3 linked regions of the Arabidopsis thaliana genome follow. The protein of the gene in region 2 interacts with the protein of the main gene of each other region in a pairwise test. Each region holds a gene or a part of one and is shown on either strand. Other genes may lie near its edges.

Evidence for each region.
Region 1: the proteins of AT2G32040 (region 2) and AT4G27610 interact in a protein complementation assay, tested with the Arabidopsis thaliana proteins (one large-scale study listed by BioGRID).
Region 3: the proteins of AT2G32040 (region 2) and TPI interact in a protein complementation assay, tested with the Arabidopsis thaliana proteins (one large-scale study listed by BioGRID).

What each region holds. Positions count from the first base shown.
Region 1 is NC_003075.7:13,784,911-13,790,231, reverse strand, and holds AT4G27610 (intracellular protein transporter), read left to right. Parts: upstream 1-1,716; 5' UTR 1,717-2,148; exon of another isoform or gene 2,149-2,858; 5' UTR 2,859-2,899; coding exon 2,900-3,083; intron 3,084-3,170; coding exon 3,171-3,275; intron 3,276-3,868; coding exon 3,869-4,584; 3' UTR 4,585-4,819; downstream 4,820-5,321. Other genes in the region: AT4G27620 (intracellular protein transporter), read left to right, coding at 1-88, 485-1,173; NARA5 (pfkB-like carbohydrate kinase family protein), read left to right, coding at 5,227-5,321.
Region 2 is NC_003071.7:13,633,181-13,638,618, reverse strand, and holds AT2G32040 (Major facilitator superfamily protein), read right to left. Parts: upstream 3,526-5,438; 5' UTR 3,504-3,525; coding exon 3,272-3,503; intron 3,184-3,271; exon of another isoform or gene 3,164-3,183; coding exon 2,913-3,163; intron 2,834-2,912; coding exon 2,769-2,833; intron 2,698-2,768; coding exon 2,535-2,697; intron 2,436-2,534; coding exon 2,287-2,435; intron 2,186-2,286; coding exon 1,925-2,185; intron 1,812-1,924; coding exon 1,643-1,811; intron 1,550-1,642; coding exon 1,457-1,549; intron 1,327-1,456; coding exon 1,027-1,326; 3' UTR 741-1,026; downstream 1-740. Other genes in the region: AT2G32050 (cell cycle control-like protein (DUF572)), read left to right, coding at 1-740; AT2G32030 (Acyl-CoA N-acyltransferases (NAT) superfamily protein), read left to right, coding at 5,378-5,438.
Region 3 is NC_003074.8:20,551,723-20,557,145, reverse strand, and holds TPI (triosephosphate isomerase), read right to left. Parts: upstream 3,744-5,423; 5' UTR 3,353-3,743; coding exon 3,314-3,352; intron 2,987-3,313; coding exon 2,911-2,986; intron 2,621-2,910; coding exon 2,497-2,620; intron 2,153-2,496; coding exon 2,068-2,152; intron 1,974-2,067; coding exon 1,841-1,973; intron 1,663-1,840; coding exon 1,568-1,662; intron 1,458-1,567; coding exon 1,379-1,457; intron 1,293-1,378; coding exon 1,210-1,292; intron 1,119-1,209; coding exon 1,068-1,118; 3' UTR 586-1,067; downstream 1-585. Other genes in the region: AT3G55430 (O-Glycosyl hydrolases family 17 protein), read left to right, coding at 5,142-5,423.

The sequences.
Region 1 (5,321 bases), on a different chromosome or scaffold from region 2:
GACAGAGGAAGATTTAAGGGCTGCTGCTTGCATTCTAATGCATCACCCTGTGAAAGGAATAATGATTGTTGCTTTCACTGCACTCCCGGTGAGAGTTTGTGAGTTTGTTATTCTTACTACTGAATTTGCTTATACATAACTTCACTTCACATAGTCTCTTACTGGGGTTTGATTTTGTGGTATCTTTGAAGTGAAAAGAGATTTTGGGAGATGTTGTCAAATAGTTGAAAGAATATGGAGATGGTTCTTACATATTTGTAGCCTCTAGTATCTTGCATAATGATCTTTGTAACCCAATCAGGAACAATATTTGACTAAAGATGTCTTTGTACCCCAATCAGGATTCATACTTAAGTAGCTACTTACGTTAATGAGCTGGAAACTATGAAGGCTGTAGTATTATCCCCCAATGATGGCTTGTGTTATGGCAGAAAAGTTTTGTGTGGGTGTTCTGAGAGTTGGCTTCTTATTTTCATTTATGCAGGAACTGAGAATGGGGAAGGAAATCATGCTACAAATGAGCAAATGGCAGAGTCCAGTACTTCTCTGCCTCTTGTGACAGTTCCTGCTTCATCATATAGCAAAGAGAGTGCAGTCGTATGGGGATCTTCTCCTGACCACCTGGAAGTGCCGATGAAAGCATACCATCAACATTCGACCTGCTCAGATTCTCCTTGCGTATCTGAATCCGGCTCAGACATCTTCAGCAAGCGAGAAGTAATACAGAAACTGAGGCAACAGCTGAAGAGACGTGACGACATGATAGTTGAAATGCAGGAACAGATTCTAGAGCTGCAAAACTCGCTAAACGCCCAGATGGGACACTCTAGCCATATCCAAACACAGCTAGACGCAACAAACAGGGACCTGTTTGAATCAGAAAGAGAAGTCCAGAGACTGAGAAAGGCAATCGCTGATCACTGCGTGGGACACACAGGTAGCAATGGTTGGAGTGGCGATGTGAACAGCGAAAACAACTACGAGTCACCAGAAAATGGAATAAGGGATGGAGAAAGAATAGAGATGTTGAGAAAAGAAGTGGGTGAGCTTAAAGAAGTGATAGATGGGAAAGAGTATCTACTTAGGAGCTATAAGGAGCAGAAAACAGAGCTTTTGCAGAAGGTAAAAGAGTTGCAGCAGAGACTGGACTCGCAGCTCCCAAACATTTTGTAGGTGAAGAAGGTTAGGCATTGTGCATTCTTACCACTCTCTTTTGTTTCCCCGAGTAAAAAATATGAATCTTTGTTCAAAAATATCTCAATTTCTCCGGGGAAACTTATCAACTGACTACATTGTTTTGGGTGTCAATTATGATTTTATCCAAATTGTTTTTTTCTCTTGGTGAAGTGGATATTCGAAAGTTGCAAACTCATACAATATCGTGTCTCAAGGCTTAAATTGTAGAATTGCAGTTGAAGTTTTTTACAAGAAAGTTGGTTACTTGTTCTTAAGGAAAGAGAAAGAAGGGTTGCTAAAATTTAATTTGGCACTTATTTCAGTCAGGTTTTGATATTCATAAGGAAGAAAATCGTTAGAGAAGGAAGGACCAAATATTTAATTTTGTAGTTGTCACATAGTGAAGAAGACAAAAGAAAAATGTATCATCACATTAGCTGGTAGTGACTTAAAATAGAAAAAAAAAAATAATCAACAGAAAGTGCAAACATTTACACATGGATAAAGATGTCAAATGTTCATTCATACTCAAATTATCTATTAAATTTCATTACTAAAAAATTGAAATCGTAAAGAAGAAAAGAAAGAAGAAAAAAACATATGAGCTGAGTTTGTTAACCACCGTGAGCGTCATCCATGGGACGTGGTTGACGCGTGCGTGATTTTATTTTAATAAATGAATTAACAGTGGAAGGAAAAAACAACAACGGAGCTGTAACTGTGAGGCGCCGTCTCTCTTCAACCTCTTCCCCTCCACTTTGCTTCTCTCTCTCCTCCCCGGGGGTTTTACAGTCATATCATCGTCGGAGACTCTGCGATTCTTCACGGAATCGTATTTCTCTCTCAGCGATTTTTTTCGATTCTCGAAGCTGCAAGGACCACCCATCAAACATTGAAACTCAAGCGGGAGAAATTTTCTGGCTCGGGAGGGAAACTATGGAGCCCTAATGCCCATTTTCTGCTGTCTATGAGGTTTTTTAAAGAGTCCTTTATACTCTCCCTGTTTTTGGGTGCTTCGCTCGCTCACTGATTTTTGATTCGTCGGAAAATCTATTTTCGAGCTCGGATTTATGTAATTCCTTATTCTCCTTCTGATTGCGATTGTTGTGTTCATTAAGGGTTGTTGGGATATCGATTAACGGCCCCTATCGAAAAAAATAAGGGTTGTTATTATTTTCATTTCGCTTCATGTTCAAGGCAAGTATCTATCTCTTCTTCTTGCTTTTGTAGTTTTAGAATCTAAATCCCATGGCATCAACGTTTCGATTACTCTTTCAGGGAACTCCATTTTTCTTGCATTTGCTTTTTTTGAGGTAGAGTCTGTGCTCCTATATGATTCCATGGATTCGTCGTATACTTTCTCAACTGAGAATGTTTGACTTAGAGAATCTTCCATTTTTTTTTTTGTCTTTCTCTTTTCAGTGTTACTATCATTTTAGATCTTTTTTTTGTTTTTCCTTCTCTGGTTGACTGTGTTTGAGGTAATGCTCAAAACGTGATTCTTTGTGCTCATTATCTTTTCATATTCTAGTTTCTGGAATCTTTCTGGGTATTAAGCATTTGATGATTTTAAAATTGTATATTTGTTGATTTTATTGAGTTGACACCAGGTTTCTTGTTGACATATGCCCAATTCATTCTGATCGTTGATGATGATTGATTCTTGTATCCGTTCAATGTAGGTTATGTTTGGATGATAGATACATTTTGACTTTCTCATACAATGAGTACACGAAGAAATGGCATTTCCAAGCATCAGCGAGGTGATAAATTTTGTGGTGAAGGGCCAAACTGGATACTAATTGCAGGGGGTGCATTGTTGAGCACATTGTCCATTCGCTTTGGATACAAGCTAAAGCAGTCGCTTGATTCGAAACCTCAATCAAATGGCTCTGCTGGATTAAAACGTACTTACTTTATCGCTGTGTTGCTTAACATGTTTTATAATTTGGTTCTAGTTTTTTTCTATCACTAAATGAAAGCCTCTTGTGCAGCTAATGGAACATCTGAGAGGCAAAAATCTACAAGCTGTTGCTTACACTCTACCACATCTTCCTGTACACAAAATAATGATTTTTGTTGCTTCCGCTCCATTCCAGGTGTGACTTTGTAACTTTCTGTTTTGCCTCATACATATTTGTTCAATCTACTAAACAAACGCTATATGCTTGTTTCTTGGTCTCGCATCATGTCTTACTGGGTTTCCTTTCATGAAGTTAAAACGATGTGTGATATATAGTAAAATCTAGTTGGGAGAATGTGTAGATGTTGTTATAGAGTTCTAGCCTCTGTTATCTTACCTCATGATGTATTTGTCAACTAGGGGAATCCAATTCGAAGTTATGGAATGAGTAAAATAGTTACAAGATTTGCCACCTTGCAATAACTGGTTGAATCGAATATCTCTTGTTTCGTTGTGGCATATTACCATTAATTTGCATCAATTGGGCTGGCAACTAGGGAAGCAGGTTTTCTCCATTGATGGCTGTGTCTAGTGGCTGAATGCTAAAAACAGTTACTAGTTTTGTTATCTACCAAGACCTCGTTAAGCATAGTTACAAGTTTTGTACTATTAGATCCAGACCTGAGTTATGTTTTCTCTTTGGAAAATCTCTGAATCCTAATATTCATGTAGTCCAGAGCAAACAGTCGTGTATGGATCTTATCAGCCTTTGCTTCTTTATTTTTATAGGAACTGAGAGTGTGGAAGGAAAAGAGGTGACAAGCGAGCAAATGATATCCGCATCTGACACTTCACTGCCTCTTGTGACAGTTCCTGCTCCATCGAGCAAAGAGAATGGAGTCATGTGGGCAACTTCTCCTGATCGCCTGGAACTTCCCCCAAGACCATACAATCACAATTCAAACTGCTCAGATTCTCCTTGCGTATCTGAAACCAGCTCAGACATTTTCAGCAAACGAGAAGTAATACAGAAACTAAGGCAGCAGCTGAAGAGACGGGATGACATGATACAGGAAATGCAAGAACAGATTCTAGAGCTGCAAAACTCGTATAACGCACAGACGGCACACTCAAGCCATCTCCAGGCACAGCTAGACACACTGAACAGAGATCTGTTTGAATCAGAAAGAGAAGTTCAAAGACTGAGAAAGGCAATTGCTGATCACAGCGTGGGATGTGGCGCGGACAGCAATGGCAAGACATCTCCGGTTGGACCTTGGAATGGCGGGTTTATGGACAGCGAAAGCAATTATGAGTCACAAGAAAAGAGCCTAAGGGATGGAGAAAGAGTAGAGATGTTGAGAAAGGAAGTGAGTGAGCTTAAAGAAGTGATAGATGGGAAAGAGTATCTACTTAGAAGCTATAAGGAGCAGAAGATTGAGCTTTCGCAGAAGGTAAAAGAGTTGCAGCAGAGACTGGACTCACAGCTCCAAAACTTATTGTAGGTGGAAAGGTTAGGCATTGTGCATACTTGCGTCTCTTATTTTTTTTTTCGGTTCTTTTTCCTTTTTCGAGAAAATGAATCTTAGTATGTACTAAGAACGGTGGAGATCAAGATTTTCAGGTTCTTTCTGGCTTTCTGCTTTCGTTTTTGAATGTCTTGATTCTGTTTTTTCTTTCAACATTTGGTGTAAAGGTAAATAGATAGTTGTTGAAGAATTTACCGCGGGAATAGCTCTCTACTTTTTTTTTTTTTTTATTCTCCGTAATTGGTAACTAACCCGATAATTACAAACGCCACGTATAAGGATGTGTTCACTAGAAGAATTAGCCAATTTTAACACAAATGATAAATAGTATAAACAAATTTTAAATTTATAAATAGACGCAACATACATTATTATTTTTAAGATACAGTTAAAATAAAATTGTTAGCAATTATGCTTATTCTGAAATTTTGGGTTTGAATATAAATAAGAAATAGAGTTTTATCCTAATAAGATTTATATAAATAAACATATAAAGTCAAAGTCATACTTTATCCTCTCAGAGGCCGTCTCTCGGGTTTTGCTGGTCTTCCTTGCTCCTCTCGCTTTTGAATGGAGATGTGAGCTTTCTTCATTCAAAGAGCAAAACTATCTAATTCCATGGCGTTCTCCCTCCTCTCTCCAATTCCTACCTCTGCCTCTCTTTTTTTCACTCTCTCCGCCATTACCGCTTCTAATAATGCTTCCTCCTCCTC
Region 2 (5,438 bases):
AATACTATCCACCAAACTTTGATCCGAAGCAGATTCCTCGGATCCGAAAACCTAAGAATCAGCAAAGGAAGATTCGTTCGATGGTTCCATTACGTATTCGATGCAACACCTGTGGGAATTACATGTCGGAAGGTACCAAAATCAATTGCCGTGAAGAAAACGTAATCGGAGAAACCTACTTAGGGATCAAAATCCATAGGTTTTACTTCAAGTGCAGTAAGTGTTGCACCGAGCTGATATTGAAGACTGATCCAAAGAATTCGAGTTATGTAGCCGAATCAGGTGCAACTTGTGTTTATGATCAACACGAGGAGGAGGAGCAAGCCGAGGACGGTGGGGATAGGATGAGTTCTTTAGAGAAGAGAACTTTGGTTTCGAAAAGAGAGGTTGATGTAATGGCTGCACTTGATGAGATGAAATCTATGAAATCTAGACGCGTATCGGTGAGTGTAGACTCTATGCTTGAGGATTTGAGTAAAAGACACAAAGAAGAAGAAGAAGTTGCAAAGGAGGAAGATGCAGCGTTGATAAAGTCTACCAAATTTGGTAAGCAGAGGAGGATTGTCGACGAAGAAACTGATGAGATGGAGAAGACGAAGAAAGTAAGAATGGAGGCAGTAGATGAGAAGAAACCTAAGACTAAGAAACTTGCTTGCATTATAACCTTGAAGAAGAAGAAGACAACAAGTTTGGGACTCGCATCACTATGCCACAACTATGGTGCTGATGAAGAAGAGTGAATCAGGTCTGTTGAATCAAATCAAGATTCATGTTAGAAACTATCTTGTAGAGATTACTATCATGACTATTTTTGCATATTGAAGTATTTTTCTGCAATCTAATAACAAAAGAGTTTATTGTTTTAAGAATTACAACATTTTGGTTACATGATATTTTGGGTAAAAGTAGTTTCCATGTAAAAGCCTGCTTCATTCTTTTCAAGTAATAACAGGGTTGGAACTGAATACACAGAACACCTCTAAAGGTATATCACATTTTAACTTTTGATAATTATCATCATCTTCCTTAATTGGACTTCATCTCAACGTCTGCGTCATCTTTAGTAAGAGTATCTGGAGAATCTCGCGGTAAAAGACCGAGAAGAGGCAGAGGGAGCAATGAGCTAAGATTGCAGAGGATAATAAGTGTTGATAAGTTACCAAAACTGTCTCTTGTAATGCCGAATGCTTGAGTCAGTCCTGCACCCATAAGCCCACCTAGAACACTGCCTCCGTTAGAGATTGACATGAGTGTAGCGAACAGAGTTGCTTCCATTCCTTCTGGACATAATCTCGCTGCTAACACAAGAACCGGCATGAATGAAGCCTGTTACAGTTCGATTTTAAGCTGTCAGTGCATAGATATTGACAAATTCCAATAATGCTCCATTAACTATGGAATCACAAATTCCAATAATGCAGCCTTTGAAAAACTCAATGCTGACAAATATGTAAACCTGAGCAAGGACTGTTAGGATTAGAGAGTCTCCTATAGCAAACCATTCGTCGCTAATCCCCAACTGTCTGTTAAAACCTGACACGAGGATAACCTGCAAAACATAAGAACGGTCCCAAGAGTTATTGGTTGTGTAACAGATAATAGATGGCAAAGTTTTTCTTGTAAAGAGCGGACGGGAACCAACCTGAGTCATCCCAAGACCCGTGCCAAAAATTGTCGTCACGAGAAAGATTTTTCTCAATGGAACAGTCTTCAGGAATCCATTGTACAGTCCTACTCCAAGCAATGAGGCAATTGAGGTCACAAGTTTAACTCGTCCCAGAAACTCCGGGGTAAAACCGAGTTTGTTCGTTCTGAGGTGAAATTTGTACCAAATAAAATTAGTTAGAGACTAGTTAATACATTCCAGAGAATATGAAATAAGCCAATAACCATGAAGGCATGAACCAAGTGGAAGAGGACATACGTGAAGTAAAACATTGCAGAATCTGAGTGTGGTGTGGCTTGCCATAAGAATATAAATAAGGTGGGGAGAAAAACATTCGGTTGCTTAATGGCACCCCATAGCTGAATCATGTTCTGCTTTGAGGTCTGAAGAAAACCAGGACTGAGCAGCGTTATATTCTCTTTCTGCCCTGATGCTGGTCTGACCACACGTTGTTCATTCACGAGAACAGCAACTGCTGAAGTTATCAAGGGTAGTAAAGCTGTCACCCCAAATACAAACCTGAGGTATAACAGCTTTTAGAATGCCACTTAGTTAGTTAGCTATGCCACGGAATACCGAAAAAGAGAAAAGCTACTGTTTGCGCAAATTGTGAACTGTACCTCACACCATATGACTCCACCAGGGAGCCGCTAAAGTAGGAACTCACAATTCCACCAAAAGCTGAGGATCCCCAGCACAAAGACTGCAGCGATCCTGACACGCTTTGTGACTCACCACGAGCCCGTTCCACTACCATTGAGTCTACTACCTATTAAAACGTTAACCACTTAATTAATATTTCAATATATCCAACTCTATCTTGCAACTTAACCAAGCTAAGTTAACCAGAATGGATTTGAAAACTTACAACATCAGAAAAGGCGACAGAGAGGGAACCGAGAAGTATACAAAAAGCAGCACTATATTTACTGTCAACAAAACCAGCCATCAAACTCCAAGAAAATGCACCAAGAAGTCCCGAGAGAACTAGATATGACCTCCTTCGATAACCAAATAGAGGCACTGAATCACTGCAAAACAGACCAACTTCCTTAAACAGTTATCACAGTCAAGAGGTATAGAGGTGATAAAGAACTCATACCTGATAAAACCATAGAGAGGCTTAACAAGCCACGGCAATGAAGAAAGACCCGTTATCACAGCTGTCTAGTCAAGAGGTATATATTTGTCAGCCTATAAAGAGATATTCCCATGAAAGTCCAACAAGGAACTACAAAAAGCATACCTCAGCAGGATCAAGATGCAAGTCATCTTTTAAATAGAAACTAACAGCGAGCCTAGCGAGTCCTAAAACACCTTGAACAAAATACACCATTGCTACAGCAACATTATCTGGTGATAATTCAACACCGTAGAATTTGATTCTGCTGCTACTAAGATTTCTTCCTTTACGAGGGGGAGGCTGTGTTCTAATACTAGAAGTAGTATCTCTGTCTCCTTCTACATCTGTATTCGATGTATCTCCTTCAGCTACACCTATTCATATACACACATTTCTGAGGATTCAGTTAATGGAGCTTCGATACTTGCAAAACCTAATCCCAAATGCCAATTTCTGAGGATTCTGTTGCTTTAAGAACTTACTGATTCGAGAATCTAAAAGCAGGCTTTCCTCAGAATCCCGCCGGCGAGGAAGCTCCGGGATTGAAACTATGGAGGACATATCTCTATCAGGAGGTCTCTTACGAATCTTCCGGCGTGATAGTCGGTGAGATCGAGCGGCGATAGCAAGGCGTCGTCTCTCGTTGTTGATGGATGGCAAAACTGTAAATTGAGAAGGTGAGATTGAGATAGAGAAAAGAGAGCGACTCGCCATTTTAATATTCGTTCTTTTTTTTTTCTTTCTTTTCTTTAAATAAACAACACTCCGTCTCTTGCGCTACGTAGATAAATTAATTTTTCTTCGTCTTTTTTTTCGATTGATAAATTAATTTTTGATTTTTCTCATGAACTATATTAGCAGCTTATTAAATTTTTATTGACAAAATATGTATTGAACCTTATATTTTAAATAATTTTGAGTTTTAATGTCTTTTTATGTGATTTATTGTAAAAAAAAAAAATCAAATTCCAGTAAAAATATGAGATTTGAATTTTTATATATGTAACTAAATAAATCTTTTTAAATTTTCTCAAATCCTTTAAAATTAATAAAGAGGTGTATTAGATCTAAGTGTGTCAAAATGGGTAACACAACTCAACTCAACTCATAATCAAATGAGTTTAGGGTTAAATGAGTTATGGGTTGATCCAACTCATTTTGTTAAATGGGTTAAGTCAACCCATAACTCATTTAATTTAATGGGTTGAGTTGTTAAATGGGTTAACCCATTTAAGTAATAATTTAATTAATTATTATTATAAAATAATAATAAATAATTATCATTATTAATTCATTATCATCAAAACTTAATATATTTACGGATTCCACTTTTTACGGGTTTACGTTTTTGGCGGGAAAATCTCGGGTTTACGTTTTTGGCGGGAAAATCATGGATTTACGTTTTTGGCGGGAAAATCACGGATTTACGTTTTTGGCGGAAAAATTACGGGTTTACTTTTTCTCAATTTCATCGCTTGTATATTTAAGAAATTTGGAAAAATATTAATTTTATTAAATTGGTTTAGATGTGTTGGTTAGACTTAAATTGGCATTGGTTTAGAGATTTTAGTTGGTTTAATTCAATTTTACAAAATTTGATGGGTTAATTGGATAAACCATTGAAACCATTAACCATTACAACCCAACTCATTTTACTCATCAAACCAATTGACTCATCAACTCATTTGACTCATCAACTCATTTGAGTCAAAATTTTCAACTCATTAGGGTTCATGGATTGAGTTGAGTTGAGTTGAGTTGACTCATTAATTTGGACCTTACAATTTGAGTTTTAGCTAGTTTTTATATGAGTTTGATGATTTTAGGAAAATTGATGTGATTTATTATAAAATATTTTAAAATTCTATATAAGACCATGAATTTCGATTTTGTTATTTTTAACTAAAGAACTTTCTCAAATCCTTCAAAATTAATAAGAATCAAATCTACCAATTATTTTCAATAACAATAGATTTTAAGATAGAATTTTAAATCTTTAGTTCAATAATACTAGATTTCATTAAAGTTTTTCAAATCCATAATCGAACAACATAGAATTTATAAATTTTACACAAATCACTTAAAATATTAGATTGAATACATTCTTATAAAAATCAAATCCATAAATTATTTTTAATAACAGTGAATTTAAAGGTAGATTTTTAAATTATTATTTTAATAACACTAGATTTCATTAGAATTTTCAAAATCCATAATTAAATAACATATACTTGTAAAATTTACGAAAGTCACTTTAAATACTAGATTGAATATACCTCTTTTAAATCAAAAACGATGAATGGATGGTAAATATACGGTTCACCCATACCCATTATAAACCGTCTTTTTCACACCTTCCATTCAACAAGAACTAATTGTTGCGTATTTGACCGATCGAAGCAAGAAGGAACGTTCTGTTTATTTTCTTTTTTGTTAAAAAAAAATCAGTATTTAAATCGTGATTTGTAGAAGAAGTATTATCATAATGCCTCTACACAAATCTGTAAGAATTGAGAGAGATAATTTATTTTAAAGAATCCCAAAGAAGCTTCAAAGACTCAAAAAGGAAAGTAACCAAGAAAAAGTCAATGGAGATGGACTCAACTACTACGATCAAACCGGAGACCCTATCCACCGTGAGTTCCTCAC
Region 3 (5,423 bases), on a different chromosome or scaffold from region 2:
GATGACTTAGTCAAACCTCCATTTCTAAGGTCACAATTGTTTGCTCGTTACGCAAATAAGTCCAAGGTCAACTATATAATATAATACTCATAAAAATTCAATCCCTACTTTCTTAAATATTACTCAGAAATAAATAAAATATAAGTCACCAGAAATGTGGGTTGACTTGGGAGATAATACGTTATCACATTTGTAGCTGAGTCACATATTGTGGAGTTTTTATTGGCACTAGTTGGATTTTCGTGGTCGGATCAAAATCCATACACATTTTCATCATACTGAGTCCAATTTTTTAATAAATGGTTTGAACAATTCTGACATACGGGAGCTCTTATTTTGGACTTAACCGTCTCTTTTACATTATCACTTTAGTTCCACTGAGCCGTTTTACTCAAATTACATAAGCATTTTGTTTTCTACAAACATTGACATTCCTAATACAATGAGTTTCTCCATGAAATTTCTTTTCCTTTTTTACTCTCTACATAATAATTTCGTAATGTTGGACATTTTTCAAGATGATGACAATAAAGTTGAAAATAATAATGTTCTAAAAGCTAAAATGTCAAAAATGACAGACCAATAGGCAAAAAGCGATAAAAGGGAAAAAATAAAGTCATTTCCCACTTCTCCTGTATTCTCTCGTCATTTATTTAACAAGTAAAGCCATTTTCAAAGTGGTTGACAGCATGATTCAGAGATCAAGCATGACAAAATACCAAAGTCTAAAATGGAACAAACAACATATTATATAACACACAGGTTTATGATCGGACGACATTAGAAATAGGGGTTTGATCAAAAGGCCCGAGGGGTTATGAACTCCAAACACAGATTCTCTGAAGAGTTGAGAAGACTGTAAAAGGAAGGGATTTGCAAATTGCAAGTCCACAGCTAAATAAATGGCGAAGAAAATGATTGTTGCGTTCTCAAAACAATATAGTAAGAGAGAAACTTTTGCCAAATACAACTGAAGCAAAATGTATCATATCATAATACCAACTTATTCATTTTTTCAGAGTTGCGACTGGAAAAGCAAAGGACTTTTAAATTGCTTAATGAGCTCATTAGGCACTTTTCTTCACCTCTGCGGCCTTAATGATGTCGATAAACTCAGGCTGCAAAAAGACCAAGAATGAAAACATTAGTCATGGTTTTGAAAGAGACAAACGAAAGATATCATTACAAGAGAAACCATATTATATGTACCTTTAGAGAAGCACCACCGACCAAGAAACCATCAACATCGGCCTGTCCACCTAGCTCCTTGCAGTTACCACCATTGACGGATCCTGATAATAATTTGCATAATCAAGCTAAGTAACATAGAAAACTATATAGGGGTGTTTAATTAAAGATCGTGTTATCATCTATCTACCTCCATAAATGATGCGGGTTGTAGCAGCGACATCAGCACTCACGTTCTTGGCCAGCCATTTCCTCAGCTCATCGTGTACCTGTTCATAAACGAAACAAGCTCTCGTAAGGAAAACAGCATTGGTTTTCCTATTAAATCATGACCATATGCAACACGTTACAGTGCAACTGCGCATCGAGAACCACTTACTTCTTGAGCTTGGGCTGGGCTAGCGACCTTTCCGGTTCCAATGGCCCACACTGGTTCATAGGCTATGACAACATTTGACCAGTTTGTCACCCGATCTGCCATTACCAACAAAAAGAGTTTTTTAGCCAACAAATATTTCTGTGGGGTTTGAATCACACACTAAGGGAGTATAGTGCGTAGAAACGGGCATCACTATCATCAAAACAGGTCTCACTGTAAACGAGAACGAACTGAGATAGCAAAAAGAGATTAAATGTTTGACAATATACATACCGGCAATAGCCTTGGTCTGGGCAGCCACAACATCCATGGTCGATCCAGCTTCCCGCTCCTCAAGAGTCTCACCAACACAAGCAATCACTTTCAAACCTTGAGCAAGTGCATAGGCAACCTTGTCTCCGACGAACTACAAATGTAGGATAGAGGTCAAAAACCAAAATCATGAATTTAAAAGCTATTTGAGTCTCCAGAAAATTATTTTATCATGTAAAGTCACCAACCTCGCTTGATTCATTAAGGATTGCCCTCCTTTCAGAGTGACCAAGGATAACCCATGGAATATCCAAGTTCACAAGCATCTCCGCACTAAAACACACAAATTACACAATGCATAAGAGCAGGAAATACAGGCACCACAGAATATATCTTTTCTTCCTATGAAAGCATTCCATAGACAGGTAAATCATATTACACCTACTTGTCTAACCAGGCACGAATCCAATCATGGTCTTACTACCAACTACTAGTTGTTTTCTTAATCACTTAGGTTACACAATTCTTATAGGAAAGAAGATAAAGAAGAAGAACAGATGGAAAAATCGATTCGTTTATAAACACAATCATATTCATTTTCAAAACCATAAATATTTACTGCATGAAGCAATAATGGTAAAACAGCTTAAAGTATACACCAATGGTTAGAATCTCACCTCACTTCACCAGTGAAAGCACCTCCTTTCTTAACCCAACAGTTTTGTGCCGCAACAAAAAAGTCAGACCTCAATGTGCTCTTAACCAGGGGAAGAAAAACATATGGAGGGCTAACCACAACCTCTGCATTTAGTAAAATTTCATCAAATTATTAATACAAGAACAAACATACTTATAACTATCAACAAAGATAGAACCATAACAAGTATATGATAAAGAACATTTTAACTAACAACAAACACTAGATCTATCCATGGTTCCTAAGAAGCATAAACACTATAGAACATCGATGTACATTGAAACAGGTTTGTAATTGTATGCCCAAAATATTTGTCACTACTTAAGATTTCATAGACATGGAAATTAAAAAAAAAGCCATAATGTCGTCAAAGCAATTGAGATGCTACACATACCTACAACATCCTGTGAAGGAACCTGAGCTTCATTAAGAGTGTTCACAATCTTCTTCACCTCCTCAGCAGTTCCGTTCTATATAAGATTACAAATTCAAATATTAACATGTTAAAATAGTTTAACCAACAAAATTAACACACGGATCCACCAAAGCTAGAACACGAGATATCAATTGAAGAAAAATTCCTACTCAAAATTTTGACAAAAAAAAACAACTAAGATCCGGCATAGAATCGACAAATCTGAACCATATGCATTACAATTCAAATTCCACCGCTACAAATAATGAAAAAAACCTTAGATCTTAAGATCGGGATTTTCCGATCTCTTTGACTTGATCGGGGAAGGATCAAGTGACAAGACTAATAATAAGGTGCGCAATAGAAGGTAAAGATCACTTACACATTTCCAGTTGCCTCCGACGAAGAACTTTCTGGCCATTATCTCAAATTTTTTTCAGGCGATGATCACGAGAGTCACAGATACGACGACGATGGAGAGAGCTGAAAAGATTAGATCGATAGTGTTCAGTGGCCGTTGTCTCTCGCAGGGGTCACTCATATATATATAAATAAAAATATACTCTCAACATTTTAGATTGGAAAAGACGCATATGTCTAGGGTATATGAGAATATTCCCTGAACGATTAGGAAAGTTGAGGATATTAAAGTAAATTAGGAGGGAGGATGAAATATTATGGACGTGTTGGCCAAGGTTTGGTCGGTGTACCGGGTGGGGTGAATAATAAGAATAGACAACGGCGTGGATAGTGATGCTGTTGTATGGGCTTTAGGCCCATTAAAGCAAGCACATCAATAAAACCCAAGTTTGGTTAAAGGAAAGCCTATTGAGATGATTCTGAAACCAAATTATATTTGTATTCCCTTAAAGATAAATTCTGTATTACGCAATTCTTTCTTTTTTTTTCTTTTTTTTTTTTGGTAAAAGTTTAAATCGTATTATGCAATTCTATATTGTAATGCCCCTTCTTGGATACAAATAGTGTGGAGAAGGAGAAAACTGTTGTAAGTTCTCAAGTTAAACTACTAAACCACCATGAGAGCATTGAGCCGGCTCACTTCAAACATTGTGGCATACTTCAACAAACATATTGTTAGTCTAAAGGGCTATCGAGTGGCATCGATTATTTTATGTGATATCATTAAAAAGTAACAATGGTAATTTGTTATTGCAAAAAATAAGGATGGGATTTAATTAAAAAAATACAAAATTACGTGGTTTGTGTGTGTGTGCAATGAGTGTAACCATGTCATTGAAAATGACAATAAACTGTTAACAATGAGACATGGACGCGGATCTTCTTTTCCCAAAGAAAGCATAACAAATGGCTAAAGCGTGTCGGTAAAAGTTACTTCGAATCAGCTTCCTCAACAACATCTTCATACTTCGAATCTCTTTGACTTTGGTCCGTAGTGTTCAAACTCCAAACTATTCCTCCTACAAACACGTGTCCAATGGGCCAATGGCATTATCCCAAACCGCGTCGATCTCTCTTCTTTTTCTTTTCACTTAATATTTAACCATATACATTTCGTTGATACATCAATATTACTAATCGATTTTTTTTTTAGTTTTAAGTTTAGCAGTAAAAACTCAGATAGTCTCCTTTGACCTCATTAAGAACATCTTTTAATAAACGTATCCAAGAAAAAACAACACTCGATCTCTCTTTTGTTTTCTTAACTTCACTTTAGTTCCTTTTTTTCAAATATAGTTCATCCGTATCTGGATAAAATTAGGATTGTAAAATTACGATTAACAAGAAAGAGGTATATTTTTAGATTAAACTTGGATAGTATGAGTATTTACCAGCCAAAAACCATTAAAGAAAAAGATGACAAATTGATTATCCAAACAAAAGCAGACTCTATAATTAGCCAAATTAATTAACTAAAGTTTCCACGGTCACAACAAAATCCACTTTTTCAATAATTTACAACGGCCTAAATTTAAGCCGACGCACATGAAAAACAAAGACAACACAAACTTCTTCTTTTATTTTGCTTTCCACAAAATCCAGCTGTTCCTCACTAAAAATATACACACGTATACGCTATACAAAACGGTCATATCTATTAATTTTTATTATAAATACTTTCTCGATAAGAATAAAAAAATCTATTCGTCGTAATAATAAAAACACAACTCAAACGATTCACGGGTTTCACTTGGAATCGTTTGGTTTTCTCATTTCCGAAATATAAAAAGATGGCCAAAGCGCCACCGTCAATCTCTCTTCTCCTCCTCCTCTGCGCCGCCGTATTCCTCACCATCCCCGCCGTGATCTCCGCCATCGGTGTTAACTACGGAACTCTCGGAAACCTCCCACCACCGACTCAGGTGGCTAACTTTATCAAGACACAAACTTCGATTGATAGCGTCAAGATCTTCGATGTGAATCCCGATATCCTACGTGCCTTCGCTGGAACTGGTATCTCCGTCGTTGTCACCGTTCCTAACGGTGATATTCCGGCGTTGGCTAACGGAAGA